Tamandua tetradactyla: one gene and its partner. The protein of the gene in region 1 purifies or fractionates together with the protein of each later gene. This does not show direct contact. Links are inferred from orthologs where the notes say so. Each region holds a gene or a part of one and is shown on either strand. Other genes may lie near its edges.

Region 1 (7,622 bases):
GGAGGACAGGTTCCTCTTTCCCCTTCCAGTTGGAAAAACACAACCCAAAAATCGTTGGCACTATTTCCAGAAGGAGGTAACAAAGGAATAATTCATTTGTGGCCTACGCTGACAGGTACAGTAGTCTCTTTGGAAGTCAGGAAGCCTATTCCTGAGAAATGTATGCAGGAAAGAGAATGAAATGGAAAAGTAACATGGCAGTCAGAAGGCTTGGTGGCTAGGGATGGGGAGTGCATCAGGAATGAGGGGCTTGAGATGTTAGGAAAGAGAGGGAAATAGGAAAGTATTTTGGCATACGTAGGTGTGCCAGGTCTCCTAAAGGAAGTGGAGAGCTTAGGCTCCTCTATGCCTTCACAAAAGTCTTCTATCACCCCACTTGACCAATGTTTGAGAATAGTGTGACTTCCTGGCCTATCAGCCTAGGGAATAGAGGGCTGGACTTTAGACGGCTCCTTCCCTCTGGGGAGCTGAAAGGTCCAGAGGAAAGAAGCCTCAGTCATCTGTGTCAGATACCATGAAGCCTTCTTGAAATGGGGACCTCAGTATTGCACAACTCCAGGGGATGCCATTCTCATTGTAGTCTAATTTAGCTCCTAGAGTTGTATGCTGCAGCATGTGTGGCTCTGCTTGACAGCTCAGTAGAATCAAATAACTTTCCAAAAATCTCCAGATAACAAAAATTCATATTCCAGTGAATTTCTTAACTTGTTTTCGTTAATAAGAAGTTCTGTACGTAAACAGTCATTAAAGCACTTTTTTTCTTTTTTTTTTAGGCGCACGGTACAGGAATCAAACCCGGGTCTCCTGCATGGAAGGCAAGCATTCTACCACTGAACCACCCGTTCACTTCATTAAAGCACTCTTAAAATGTGGTTGTTCTAAATTACGTTTTTCCCTTTCCTTTCCTTCTCTGTTACTTAAGTTTTTGAAGGCATTAATCAAGGCTTATTATATTTTCACTAAGAGAGTGTTTCTGAATTAGAGGGGGTAGGAAAGCATCATAGAACTACTTGGGAAGTTTTTGCAAAATACACCTGCCCAATATATCAAGAGAAGGAATTAAAAAATGTGATATATTCATGGAATGAAATCCATTCTACAATAAAAATGAGTAAAACTGCTGATACATTCAATAGTGAGAATGAATCTTGTAAACATTATATTGAACAAAAGAAGCCAAACATAGAAGTATACTGTTCCATTTATATAAAGTTCAAGAACTAGTAAAACTAGTCTGTGGTGGTAGAAGTCAGCCTGAAAGGGTCAGACTAACTGAAAGGGGGCACAAGGTAAATTTCTCAGGTGATGGACATTTTCTATATCTTGACTGGTTGGGGACGTCATGCAGATGTAAACATATGAAAAAGTCATCGAGCTCTATGTACACTTAAGATTTGTTCTTTTTTATTGAGTGTGAGTTATACTCGATAAAATACTATTTAAAAATGTTATAGGGTGTGCACGAGTAGTTCAGTGGTAGAATTTTCACTTATTGTTCAGGAGACCCAGGTTAAATTCCTGGCCCATTGCACTCATAAAAAAAAAAAAAATTGAACATATGGTGCTGCAATAAAGGGATTCACACGGAAAAGAACGAAATGGAACCCCCAAATGCACAGCATGCAAAAAAAAAAAAAAGAAAAGAAAAGAAAAATAAAAATGTTATATATATACACACACATACCAACTCTAATCTCTGCCACCAACCCAGGGAATCAGAAATAGGGAGCAGAAGATATAGAGGGGATGTGCTTTTTGAAAAAGCTCCCCAGTTCCTCTCATTTCTCCTTTCCTCCATTACTATGTATTGCCAAAAATCCCTTTTGGAATTGGTAGTAGGCTAGGGATAAATACATGCACACATACCTATGACTTTAAACATTTTAGAAGGCCCCCAGGGAAGAGTAAAGTTTTCCTAACAAAGCATGTTTCCTTTCCGGTTTGCCTTGATTGGGAACCTTATTTTGTTTTGCTTTTGAGGATTTCAGTGTCTTTAAGGGATATGATGACTACATTAATATGCGAAACATACTGGAAGCCTGTGGGATTCCTCCTGGCATCCTGTGTTAGCAGCTTGAAGCAGGCTTAGAACAAGTTAAAATACTTTTGGGGGGAAATTTAATGTCGACCGTTCTTAAAATGGCAAGGCTCTAAAGTGATGTGTAGTGATATATTCCAAAAACCAAACTCCTGTTCATCCTGATACATATTAAAGCAGATTCAAACGTGGATGCCAGAGACTTAGGAAATGAATTGCCTTTTTTGAATCGAACCTTGTGACTAGCTTTTGTATATTTAACCAGAGAAAGAAAGGTCTTTTTCATTTAAAGTTGGGGTTTTATTATTATTTTTTTCAATCTTATGTGTACTGCTTTTATTGTTCTACTCTAGAGAAAAAGAAATGTGGCTGCTCAGATACACATTACAGGCTTTTAAAGTAACAATGAAGTTTTTTTTTTTTTTTTACATTCACATGTAACATTATTCAAATTTAAAAATCTAGTTCACAGGGTTAGCCCTAAATCTTAGCTTAATTTACCAATGAACACTCATTGCTATTTACTGGATTCTAAACATCCATTTTGATTCCACCACATCCCCACTGTATCTCGGCTTGATTGCTTCGCTTCCTTCAAAGGCATGCCATCTGCCTGGAGGAGTGTACTTTCCTGCAAGTTTAGACCTGGAAAGTCCTCGGAGATGAACTCATCCAACCCAGCCCCATCCTCCATGTCACACTCCACTAAACTTGAGCCCAGAGGTGAAGTGGCTTGCTCAGGGTCACACAGCTGGTCAGAGGCAAAACCAGAATTCTGATATCCAATTGCAAGTCCTTTGCTCTGTCTTCTACATCACAATAGCCTCAGTGTGCTGCGCTTGGTACAACACACAAATGCCACCTCCCATCTCTCAAGAAAGAGCGGGAGTTGACGGTCCACACTGAGTGCCTACAGGCATTTCTGTATCCTGAATCCTGTTCTGGTCAAGTTTCCAAAAAATGAAGAGCTTGTATTTTGGGTGGAGGAGACTAGGGTTAATTATCATATTTTACTAGCTTTGGTGTGACCTTTGGTGAGCATGCTAATTTCTTCAAGCCTCACTTTCCTCATTTAGGAAATGGGGATAATAATGCAGGAGCATGTGGTGCGCTTAATTTGCTCCCTAATGTTTCCTTTAGAAATTCAGCAAATCCTTATCAAGGCTATCTACTTCCTTGAATGTTTCAGAATCTCTTCCTTCCTCCCCTTTGGTATTTGTGTTGCTCTCTGGGTCCTCTGTAAGTCTTTGTATTTCTAGAGATTGGCAAATGCTCAGTAGACCTCAATCACTGCAGATGTTCATTTGGTGGCTACAGTTAAGGCCTTGGTCTTCGGTTTTCAGTTTTCCTCCCCCAAAGACCCAGGATTTTGTACACTCTCAGGGTATTAAAGCAATTTAGGGCAATATCTTCTCCGACAAGGTCTTAAAGGTTCCTTTTCAGCCTGAGAAAGGATGAATTTGGGTTTGAATCCGGGCCAGATAACAGACCCCCTAGGACATGTTTTTAACAATGGGAAGGGAATACGGAAAAAAACGTAGTCAAGCCTTTTAATTGTACAGCTATTGAAATCAAGGATCACAAGGGCTGGGATACTCTGCCAATCTCCTCGACACCAGCAGGGCAGGGCCCCAGACCCGGGTTCCCCCGCCTGGCTGAGAGCTTTTTCCATCACACCACCGCCGCTCATAAACTCCACCTCCGAAAGTACTGAGGAAGTTCCCTCCCAGAGCCTTCCTAGGCAGGGTGGGGCGATTCTGTGGCATGGCACGGACCAGGAAAACGACATATTCCAACTCTCATATAGGTTGTTTTTAGGATTCCTGGGGGGAAAGGCAGGGGGGAGGGGTGGCTAAGACACCTGGCCCGGTACCGGAAGGTTCAGGGACCCTAGGAGAGAGAGCTCCGAGATGGCTTATGCGGTGAGGCCACCTTTCTTTCTCCTGGCCTGTGTTCCCCCGTGCGATGGCTGCAAGGGGGTGTCCTGCTTGGAGGGCTCCCCCAAGTAAGGTGGGCAGTCCTTGCTGTAGGTCGGGGTTGGGCGAGTTGCGGCCGCGGCCCAGCCCTTGTCTTCGGAGGTCCGAGTGGGATTTTTTTCCTTCCTTTCCGCTCCACCCCCACCCCACCCCCCACCGCGCCAGGAGCGGCGCAGTGTTGGGGTGCGGGGAAGGTGCGGTCAGTTTTTCTTCCCCACTCCCACATTTCTTACTCCAGGAAGTTTCACCTCGTCCTCCTCCCTCAGCCCGCAACTTTTAAAACATTTTCAAAAACTACCACATTAAAAGTGCGCGACTTCCCCGGGGCCTGCAGAAGGAGCTCCCGCAGCCCGGCATTCCTTGGATTCCAGCGCTGTGACGTCCCCGAGGACGGCGCGCCTCCAGCTCGGGCGCTCGGGCTCCACGTTTCAGCGCTCCCACACACTCACACACACTCACACGCGCGCACACGCACAGAGACTCGCTCGCGCGCGCCCTCCGCGCCGCATTCCTCTCCGCCCCCGGCCGCGCGCGCCTCGCGCTCCCTCCGCGCTCCCTCCCGCCTCCCGCCTCCCGGCCCCTGCGCCGCCGAGCCGGGCTCGGGGGTGGGGGAGTCGGGCCGCGGGCGCCGGCTCGGTCCCCTCCCACTCGCACGGCCCCTTCCTCCCTCCTCTCCCGGCTGTTTGCATTTCCTGCCGCTCAGGTCTCCCGGCCCCTAAAAGTTCGTCCCAACTTTTTCTCCCTGGAGCGCAGCGGCCGCAGTCGCGGGGGCAGGTTGCTGCGTTTCTCCTCCCTCCGTCCCCTCCTCTCCTCGCTCAGTGCCCGAGGGAGCCGCAGACGCAGAGTGGCCGCTGGCGGTCCTTCCCCTCCCACCTCACCCATCCTGCCCGGCCTTCTCGCCTCGGCCCCTCTCCGGCGGGACAGACCGGTCCTTAGGTTTTTCTTATTTTTCTCCTCCTTTGCTCCCTTTTCGCGGACTCCCGCGCCCGGAACGGAGCGGAAACCTCCCTCCCCTTTCGCCTCCTCCGGCTCCTGCCCTCCGCCCCTCCTCCGCCAGCCACTGGGATCAGTTCCTTGGGGAATTGGGGCTCCGCCGCCACCGCGGAGGAGAGCGTTTCCGCGCGGGCCCCAGCGGCACCGACGGGGGCCATGTAAGCAGGTAAGCGCCGTGGGGGCCCGCGCAGTCCGGGCCCGAGGTTGGAAGCCGCCTCCGTGCCCGGGGCGCCTTGCAGAGTCCTGGGCAAATACTGGCACCGCCAACTTGCGATGGGCGGCCGGAAACGCCTTGGCAGGGCAGAGGAGGCGCGAGGTGGGAGCTGCCCGCAGTGAGGCGCACAGCTTGTCTGGGGGAGTTGAGCTCGAAGGTGAGCTCCGTCTGGATAGTTAGTAGTTAAACCCACACCTTCTCCCTCTCCTCCCGCATCCCCTTCTGCTTTTGGGGAGCGGGAGAGGGCCTGGAAAGGGCAGTCAGATGCCCAGGCCGTTGAGGCAGGAGGATGAAAGACGCATGACGTTGCAGCCGCTCGAGGGGAGAGGGACACAGCTCCCGGTCCCCACCCCTGCGACAGCATCTTGGGAGGGAGAGAAGAGGTATTTTCATGCCCTTTTACTAGGCCCCATGTGTGCCAACGAACTCTAGGCGTCTTGGCCCCTCCTGGATGGTGGGTCGGACTGGCTTCCCGGGAAAACCTGTGACCACATAATTTCAGAGCAGGTCTCCACCTCACACTTCTCAGGTTCTGAGAATTAGCTATCTCCCCCCCTCCTACCTCCCCCTTGGTGATCCCGAAATCTGGTTTTTGAGTACTTGTAAGTGGGTTTTCCACCTTTTCTTCTGGAGGGAGTCCAGTTCCAGCCTCCCTTTCCCTTTCACCTCTTTCGTTCTTGTCACCCCACCTCCATCCTTACTTAAAATTGTAGGGATTTCGGCACCAGGCTGTTGAGGGGACAGATTCTTACCGGTTATTTGTGAAGGTGGGGGAATGTCTAGACTGCAGGCTGCAGGTACTGTTACAGGGTTTCAACCAGTGTGCTAATTTCCTGTAGTGGATTGGTTCACTCATTCATTCAACAAACGATGTATTCAGTTTCTACTCTGTGCTAGGAACAGGGGATACAAAGTTGCTACAACAAGATAGTCTAGGAGTCAACAGCCTGGTGGAGGGAACCCACTTTACCACTGCAGTGCAATGCCAATTTCTGCCAGAGGGGAGGAAAGGCTTGTTGGAGGGGATGAACTGTGCACTGGGCTTTGAGGTTGGAGGTGGAGCTCACCTGGTGGAGTGATTGGGGGTATGCATTCGAGGTAGAGGAAACAGCTTGTGGAAAATGAATACCCAGTCATCTCAGCAATGAGTACCACAGGGACAAAAACGTCAGACCTAGCTATTTGGGGGCCTGAGGGGGATTTATGGCCCAGTAGGTGCAGTGTTGCTGTGTGAGCATTTAGTTTTTATGCGTGTCAGGAATTAAACTGGCATGCCATCCACTCGTGGGAAATAGGTAGCTCCCACAGGAGAGACAGTCTCCCTGTTCAGACACTTCTCCATGTCTGAGGCTGTTTCCAGAACAAGCAGCAGTTATGTGACCTGCATTTTGTTTGGCACTAATTGGCCCATTCATTAGAATGGTACTGATTTCCTTTTAAAGACCAGTGGGTGATGATAACAGTGCAACATTACAAAACCTTATATCAAAGTTTCCCTACCATTTGGCGATGGGGTTCAAGATTGTGCCATCAAAATGAGCGGGAGCAGAATGGTGTGATGTCGTTTTGTCGCATCTGAGTCGGTGTCTGTGATGTGCAGAGTTGATTCATGTCGGTGTCATGGTGTTTGTAATAGTATTCTCTAATAATAGGGATGTCGTTATTATTAATGTTATTATCGCTTTAGCACAGTTACAAAGGGCCAATTTTCTTTCCTCTGAAACTTGGTATAAACTAAATATGTTCATGCAGGTGCTTGCAGCTTAATGTCCCAGGAGTCAGTGAATCCTGTCTAGAAAATTTTTTAGTGCAGTACCGTTGCGTGGGGTTTGTGTTTCAAGGGTGCCCTTGGCTGGCTGCAGTGGTGTGGTGGTAGTATTCATAGAATCTAAATCCTGGCTGAGGTGGCGGAGGTCCAGGTTTCTGTGACCTCGGGTCAGTAGATCAGAGTGGAAATAACACACCGGCCCCACAATTTCCAGTACATATTCAAGCCTCTCCACCAACATCTCCTCCCAAGAACAGCCCCTTTATAGAAGTTTTTCTGCAAGGAAAAGATGCGTATGAGAGAAATGACCACAAGAGAAGCCCTTCCCTGCTAGTACTAGGTATCTGTCTGCCTAGCTTCCATCATTGGCTTAAAGACAGTTACCCTGTGTTTGAAGCAGACTAATTTATTCTAGTTCATGTGTTGTGTGTGGCATTGACAGCTGCAGTGGAAAGAACAGTTATTTTAGTGTAGAAGAATCATAAAGAATTTACAGAAAAATCGGTTTTGGGGAGGATTTTTTAAAATTTAAATGGTTTTATTTACACATGATATAATCCATCCTTAGTGTACAGTCACTGGTTTTGGGTATAACCACATAATTATGCATCCACCACCAATATGAGAACTTTC
Region 2 (7,553 bases), on another chromosome or scaffold:
ACAGTGAGTCAGTAGAAAGGAAACCAGGTCGGGCCACTCCCTACCCACATGGGGCAGCTCCTGGGAGGTATAGGACTCGGGGTCTTGGGGTGGACAGAAGGGGTTGGCTTCTGGATGGGGCGTGAGGAGGGCAGGGGAGTGGTCAGAGTGGTGGAGAGAAGCCAGTGAGGGCTCTGGGGGAGGTGGTGGTTCTGGTGGAGAGAAGCAGGGAGGACCTCAGGCCAGGGACAGGGTTAAGGCTGGAGCGACCAAGGAGGGGAAAAGCCAGGGGGCTGAACAGTGCAAGGGGTGAGGTGAGTCAGCCTGAGGGCTCCACTGAGCAGCCCAACCCCCCAGTCCCAGACATTACCTCATCTCCCAGCCTGGGCCCACAGCCAGCCCTAGCCCCTCCCTCCATTCTGGGGTCAGGGAAGGGGGAGGGGGCTGGCCCAGCTTAGAAAAAAAAGCCCACCCCCCTGGGGTGGGTCCAACTCCAGGGCTGGGCTCAGCTGGTGGCTCCACCCAATGGGCAGGGGCAGCTGAGGAGGGAGCCTGAGCCCAGAGTGCCCCCAAGAGGCCACATCTGAAAGTCCATCCGAGGTTACTATGCGGCCCACCCCGACAAATGAAGACCCTGGGGCTCAGAGACCAGCCAGGGTCCAGGGCTCCTCCCCGCCACACTGGCCAGCACTTTCCCAGGGAACAGGGATGCAGGGTAGCTTTTCAGGGTTGGCAAGGCTTGAGAATATGTGTTTGAAAGCGCATGTGTGGTAAGGGGAACAGTGCCCTTGGCTACACAGCGGGGCAGGTTCCAGGGGGACCCTGTGGAAGCGTCCCTGGGAAGAGGATTAGACCCTAGCCTGCCCGGGCCACCAAGCTCATCTCCTAAGACAGACTCTACCTTGGGCCTCTCTCAAGCTGGGTAGTACCTGGACCACCCCCTGGCCCCCTCAAGGCTGTGCTTGCCCTGGATTTCCTGCCAACGGCTGCCTGCCCACTGGGCGCTTGGGTGGCCTTTCGGAGCTGGCGGATGTCGGGGCAGGAAGTCCCCACCCTCTTCTAACCCCCAGGCCACAGTGAGAGCCGAGTCACCAGCCTAAGGGCTGGCCTCACCTACTCTGGGCAGGCAGTTTGTTCTGTGCCCCACAAACTGATCCCACAGCTGGGGTGGGGGACTGCTGACCAGCAGGGGATCTGACCTGGACCACCCCTTAGCCAGAGGGATCCACTGACTGCATTCTGGGGTCCAGGTCCAGACCAGCCCTTTTTGGGCTCTGGAGACTCCTGCTACCCGTTGGCTATCCCAGTGTGGGGTTGCATTCTTGGGCTTATAAGGCAATCCCCCTGCCACAGGGAGGGGCCAGCTCCCAGCTCCACCCCTACCAGGGCTCTCTGGAGCTAAAGTCAGAGCCCTGGAGATTGCCCTAGCTGCCCACCCTTGCAAGAGGTCAAAGGCCACCGCATCCTGAATGGGCCCAGTGGGTGGGGACGGAAGGCCTCAAAGAGGCTGGAAAGAGACCCCCTTCTCCCACCCACCAAAACTGCAGGCCTAGTCCCAGTGGCATGGAATCACTAAACTGCTCCATTTCTCTTGGATCCCTGGACTGGAAAAAATAGGATGGCAATTCCTATTCCCTAGGCAGCTGTGAAGCGGAAGTGAAATCTTACAGTGTCTAGCTTGGGGCTTGGCTCCAAGCACTACTCACTTAAGGGGCTTAGACCCTTCCTCTTGCAACCTCAGGTTTCCGTCCTGCAGAATGGGCACCTGCCTGGCCTCAGAGGTAGGCCACTGGAGCTTCACGGAATGGTATGTGGTGCAATGCAGTGCTCAGGAAGGTGTGGGGGTTTCTCTCCCTGTATCCACCTGGATGGGGAATCCCTGTGGCCTTGTTCCATCTGGGCAGGGCAGAGGTCCACCACAGCTCTCCACCTGGATGCTCTCTGACTTATTGGTCCCTGGCTGCCTTCTGCTTGGAATTCTCCCATTACACTAAAGACCCCAGCACCCAAAGGCCCCTGAGAGACCCCTCTTCCCAACCTAGGGCTCAGCCTTGGCTCACCCGGGAGATGGAGAGGGGCACATTGAAATCCTTGCCCCCCTGCAGCCGGAAGCCCCAGGGAGCTGGCCCCTCCAGCACCACCTTGAAGGAATCCATGGTGTCTGCTCCTGGGAGGAGAGAAGAGAAGGTGAGTGGTGGGCATGGTGGGCTGGAGAAGGGCCAAGCTGTGGACATGAGCCTTGGACATGTGCCAGGGAAGCATGGGCCATGCCCTGCACACACGGGGATCGGGTAAGCAGGCACCTTGTCAGGCCTGGGTGTGAACCGCCAGCAGCTGGTTGACAGACCTCACCCTGGAGAACTAGGAGCAGCCCCCCATCCCCAGGGATTGGGAAGGTGGTGGGGAACACGCATCCAGGCTAGAGGTTCTTTGCAGCCAGAGGGAGGTGTCCAGGCTAGGTTGGCAAGGTCTGCCCCCACCAAGCCAGCCGGGAGCCTGGGGCAGTGGGAGCCTGGGGCGGCCTGAGTCAGGGGCCGGCCTTCTCTCCCCCGCCCCCAGGTCCCAGCAGGCAGGCCGCGGCTGGAGCCTGCTCGGACTATATAAGGCGTGTAAGCTGACACTGTGCGGAGAGACAGTGGAGGGAGCACACGGGGGCTCGGGACGCGAGGGGGAGGAGAAGGCAGGGGGAGGGAGGGGGAGGGGGAGGTTGGCGGCTGGAACGGGTCCTAGCCATTCCGGGACGGGCCGAGGCTGCTGGCGGCCAGGGCGGGACCCCTGGGCGCTGGGGGTGGGGAGGTGAGGCGCGGCCCCAGCTAAGATTGGTGGAGGCCGGGCCCCCCAAAGCGTGGCCAGGAAGGGGATGATCCATCCTGGAACCCAGCGGGGCCCACACACAGGCCTGCTTCCACTCCGACGTGACTCAGTTTCCCTCTGGTCCCCCGCCGGGGCCCCTCGCTTTGGCCGGGTCCCGGCCGCAGGAAGCGGCGCAGGCGCCAATCGGCTCCGCCACAGGAAGGCGGGGGCGGGGGAAGGGGCCTCGGCCCGTGGGAGAAAGTGCAGCGCCGGCCACGACCCCCTAATGCCCCCTGTGGTAGCTCAGCAGACCCCTGATCCCCCGTTCGGACAGCCCCGAGACGCCCCGCGCGGTCACCCGTACCTGCTCGGCCCCGCCGGGGCGCTGCTGGGCCGCGGGCTCCCGGGAGCCGCGTTGGGAACGGCGGCCCGGGTTCTGGCCCCGCCCCCGCGGCCGCCGTCCGCTTTGAGCCCGCGATCGGGGGCGGAGCCAGAGGCCACGCCCACGCACAGACCACGCCCATCCGCGACCGACGACTCGGGCCGTGGAAAGCCCCGCCCAACCACGAAGCCCCGCCTATCTTGGAGCTGGAGGGCGCTGCCCAGCTGGTCTCTTCCGTGGGGAGGGATCTAGGGTGGGGCGATGGGCGGGTACAAAAGGGTTCATGGGCGGGGCCAGGGCTGCAGGAACCGCGTGGGGCAGACCCTGCCTGGGCAGCGTCTCGCCCGACCCTTTGCGCGTCCCGCTGGCGTAGTGAAAAGAAAGCGGGCTTTGACACCACACAGACCTGAGCAACATTGCTCCTCTCTGAACTTTTGTTTCCTCCTCGGAAAAATGGTGGACGCTTACCCGCTTTCCAGGGTCTCGCCGTGCGGATAGATATTGCTTGGCGAAAGGCGTAGCCAGCGGCAGCTCCAGAATTTCTAAATCGGAAGGACTTAGTGGGGCAAGACGAGGAGGGACGGGCGAGCTGGAAGCTAGGTTCTGCAAAAAAAAAAAAAAAAAAAGGGAGGAAATGGAGGGGGTCCTTGGCGCCCCCTGAGCCTGCCCTCCCCTGCCCTCCCCCGAGCAGAGGCTGCTCCCCCAGCGCCTACCGCACACGGGGGAGGTGGGCTGGGTCCTGCTACCCTCCCCTTTGAGCAGGCAGCGCCTCCAGTTGGGGTGTCCTGAGAGCCGCCCCCGACTATCCCCAGCGCCCACCCCGGCGCTGCCACCCCGGCGGCTCCGCCAGGCGGCAGGGGAGGTTGACATCCTCTTCTCAAGGTCTGCAGTGACCTCCGGGTTATCCAATCAGTGGCAGTTTTTCGGCGCCGGGCCAGCCTCCTCTGATGGTCCCTCTTCCGGGAAACACTCTTCCCTGGCTTCCTGACTATCTGCTCCTCTTCCCCGGATCCCACCTCATATGCCTCCCAACTTAGCTATCAGAGCCCTCTTCTCTCTTTACTCTCTCTCTCCCTCTCTTTACTCTCTCTCTCTCTCTCTCTCTCTCTCTCTCTCTCTCTCTCAGACCCCATCCTGTCCCATGGCTTTTAATACCACCTGCAGGCCAAAGATATCCACGTTTTATGCCCAGCCCTGATCTCTCCAGGCTCCAAAATCCAGTGCCTGTTGGACAACTGTTCTTGAATGCCCACTAGATACCTCAGACCATCGTGTCCCAATACGATTTTCCCACCTCTCTGATCTCTTCCTCCCTTTTCTAAGTAAATGGCACCATCATTCGTCCAATTGGTTCAGTAAAAACTGTGAAGTCGCGCTTCCTTTCTCTTCTCTCTTTCATCCCTCAGAGTCTGCAAATTCCACCTTCAAAATAGGTCCCACCTCTGGTCGCTTCCAGCCTCTGCTGCCCCTCTTGTCTGAGCCATTGTCATCTTATGCCTGACATCTGTAACTGCCTCCTCACGGGTCTCCTTGCTTCCACTCTTGCCCCCCTCCAAACTCTTCTGCAGGTCGCAGAGTGATATTTTTAAACAGAAATCACACCTTGTTACCTCGTGACTTTCCTATTCCAGGGAGCTGGTGTTGCACTTAAAATCCACAGGTTTGTGACCTACATGCCCCTAATGAACTGAGTCCACCTGCCGCCACCCTCCTTCCGCCACGTTGGCCCCCTTCGCGGTTCCCCCAATGTGCCAGGCACATTCCTGCCTCAGGGCCTTAGCACCTGCTGCTCCCTCTGCTTGAAATACCTTCTCACAGATAGCTAAACAACAGACTCTCTCACTTTGTTCAGTTTCCTGCTCAGATGACACCTCCTCCACGAGGCCTAATTGATTACCCTATCTAAAATAGCCAACCCCTACCATCTCACGATACATTGGTCCCTTACCCTACTTTATTTTTTCTCCGTGGCACTTACCTCTATCTGATGTTATATTTTGTGTTTTTCTTTCTCGAATGCCTCTTGTTCCCATTAGATAGTCCCATGACTATCTTCTCCACACCGTTTCCCTGGTGCCTGCACATGGCAAAGTGAATTGAACAGAGGAAGGAAGGAAGAAAGGATTGAGAAAGCAAAATGGCAAATGAGCAAAGGAAGAAGTGGCAGCCTGGGTGTCCTGGCTGTCCTGCAGCAGAAAGAACTGGGGTCTGGTCCTTGGGTCAGTGTCAGGCTCAGGGCCTGGCTAGAGCCCCCAAGTCCACCCCCCATCCCCCACCACCGTGGGGCTCTCTGCACGTGCAGCCCGTGGGTAGCAGCAGGACCCTGGCTAGAACACAGTGCCCCCTGGTGGCTGGGGCTCCTGCAGCTCCTGGGCCAGACCCCTAGTTCCCTGGAGGCTTGCAAGGACTTTCCCATCCATTGTCTGATTGGAAATTGCGGGAGGCAGAGAGGCTGATATTTGTAATGAAGGAAAGCGTGCCAGGCCAGGGATCCAGAGTCCTGGGCTCCAGTTCTGGCCGTGACCCTAACTCTCCCGGTAGCCTCCAGTGTGTGCTGGGATTAGCAGAGCTGGCAAGGGCAGGGCTTGGGCTTGTTGTGGTGGGAATGAGGAGTCTCAGCAGCAGCCACCTTGGCCAGGAGCCTCCTGGCCTCAACTTGCACATCTCTGGTGACAAGCGCTCTACGGCAGCCTGAGCCATCCTGGAAAGACTTAGCATGTCAGAAGGTGCTTCCATAAGCAAATCTGCAAAATCTGCCTCCCCATAGCTCCATCATCTTTCAGTTTCCTGCTCAGATGGCAGGATCTGTGATCCCCCCAGACCCTGAGTCTGCACTGAAAGGAACCTCCCTTCCCCCAGCCTCCCACATTAAATACGGAGATGTCAAGTGTGCAATTGGATTCTTAGATCTGGAGCACAGGAGAGAAGCCTGGACCCATGGTGCACCTTTGGGAGTCGTCAGCGTTTAGATGGTCTTACCTGGGACCAGATGGGATCACGTAGGGCAGTGAAATCTCCACCTTGGAGGCACACTAAAACCCCCTGGGGGAATTTCATACAAAAGACCCCAGATGCCCAGGCCCCACCCTGACTGTTGGAATCTGAACCCCTTGATGTGGACCCAGACATGGGGATGTTTTTTAAAGGCTCCCAGACGAGTCCACATGTTGCCAGGGTTGAGCCACCCTGTGGTCGTTTCTGAGGCCAGAGCCCCAAATAGAGGTCTGACAGAGCGGGAGACGGCAAAAGAGGCCAGGAAGGGTTCCTCAGAAAGTTAAACTGAGAATTACTGCATGACCCAGTCCTCCGTGTAGACCCCAAAGAAGTGAAAGTGGGGACTCCAGCAGATACTCGTACACCAGCATTCTGGGCAGCATTGTTTACAATTGCCAAAAGGTGTCCCTTGACCGATGAATGGATAAGCCACATGGGGTGTCTCCATTCAATGGACTCAGTTGCAAAAAGGAATGAACTTTTGATACATGTTATAATATAGATAAACCTTGAAAACATGCTGAGTGAAAGAAACTAAAGGCAAATGCTGTCTGATTCAACCAATAGGAAATATCTACACTAGGCAAATTCATAAAGACAGAAAGATTAGAGCTTTTAGGGGGCGGGGAATGGGGAGTCATTGCTTAATGGTTATATAATTTCTGCTTTGGGTGATGACACATTTTGGGACTAGATGATGGTGTTGGCTTTACAGCATTATGAACGTAATTAATGCCACTGAAGTGCAATCATGACAGTGGCTAAAGTGGCACTTTATATATGTTACCTCCATAAAAACATTTGGAAAAAGAGGCTGGGAAGGAGTGACTGCGTAGAAGGAAAACCAAGTGAAGATGGTGTCTCGAGAAGGGATGACAAATGCAGCTGAGAAGTCAGTGGCATCCAGGTGTCACAAAGGGCATCCAGGTCATTTTTGTTTGGGGGGAGCAAGGAGGTTGGTGACCTGGTAAGCGCCATGGAATGGGGTCCTGGGGACTACGGGGTGACTGGAGGTGTGTAGGGGGGTAGGAAATAGGAGGTGAGAAAGTGGAAATGAAAGTAATCAACAACTCTTTTGAGGAGTTTCACATGGAAGAGGAACAGTGAAAGGGGGAGGTGGCTGAAGGGGGAATGCAAGGTCAAGAGAGGTTTTCCCTTAAAGATGTGAAATTACAGAGCTCATCTGCGTGTGGCTGGAAATGGTGATGGTGGTGACACCGCTGGGAGAATTAGTGGGTCTAGCAGAGAGCCTTGAGGAAGCAAGAGGGCCTGGGATCAGAGCACAGGCTGGGGGAACTTACCTTGGTGGGGTTGGGGACAGATGCTTCCACTTTGGGGTCAGGAGGGAGAAGGTGAATGCCGATGCTGGTACACTGTGGTTGCGGTGGGAATTGGAGGATGAGGG

The links.
Region 2: the proteins of PTPN14 (region 1) and PDLIM7 purify together in Homo sapiens (affinity purification with mass spectrometry; 3 studies listed by BioGRID and IntAct, counting the BioPlex papers as one, with this or other methods). This does not show direct contact. The link is inferred for Tamandua tetradactyla from reciprocal best matches to the Homo sapiens genes PTPN14 and PDLIM7.

What each region holds. Positions count from the first base shown.
Region 1 is NC_135330.1:74,016,607-74,024,228, reverse strand, and holds the start of PTPN14 (tyrosine-protein phosphatase non-receptor type 14), read left to right. Parts: upstream 1-4,619; 5' UTR 4,620-5,173; intron 5,174-7,622. UniProt on the Homo sapiens protein: Protein tyrosine phosphatase which may play a role in the regulation of lymphangiogenesis, cell-cell adhesion, cell-matrix adhesion, cell migration, cell growth and also regulates TGF-beta gene expression, thereby modulating epithelial-mesenchymal transition.
Region 2 is NC_135346.1:59,258,153-59,265,705, forward strand, and holds the start of PDLIM7 (PDZ and LIM domain protein 7), read right to left. Parts: upstream 3,222-7,553; 5' UTR 3,137-3,221; intron 2,147-3,136; 5' UTR 2,136-2,146; coding exon 2,040-2,135; intron 1-2,039. UniProt on the Homo sapiens protein: May function as a scaffold on which the coordinated assembly of proteins can occur. May play a role as an adapter that, via its PDZ domain, localizes LIM-binding proteins to actin filaments of both skeletal muscle and nonmuscle tissues.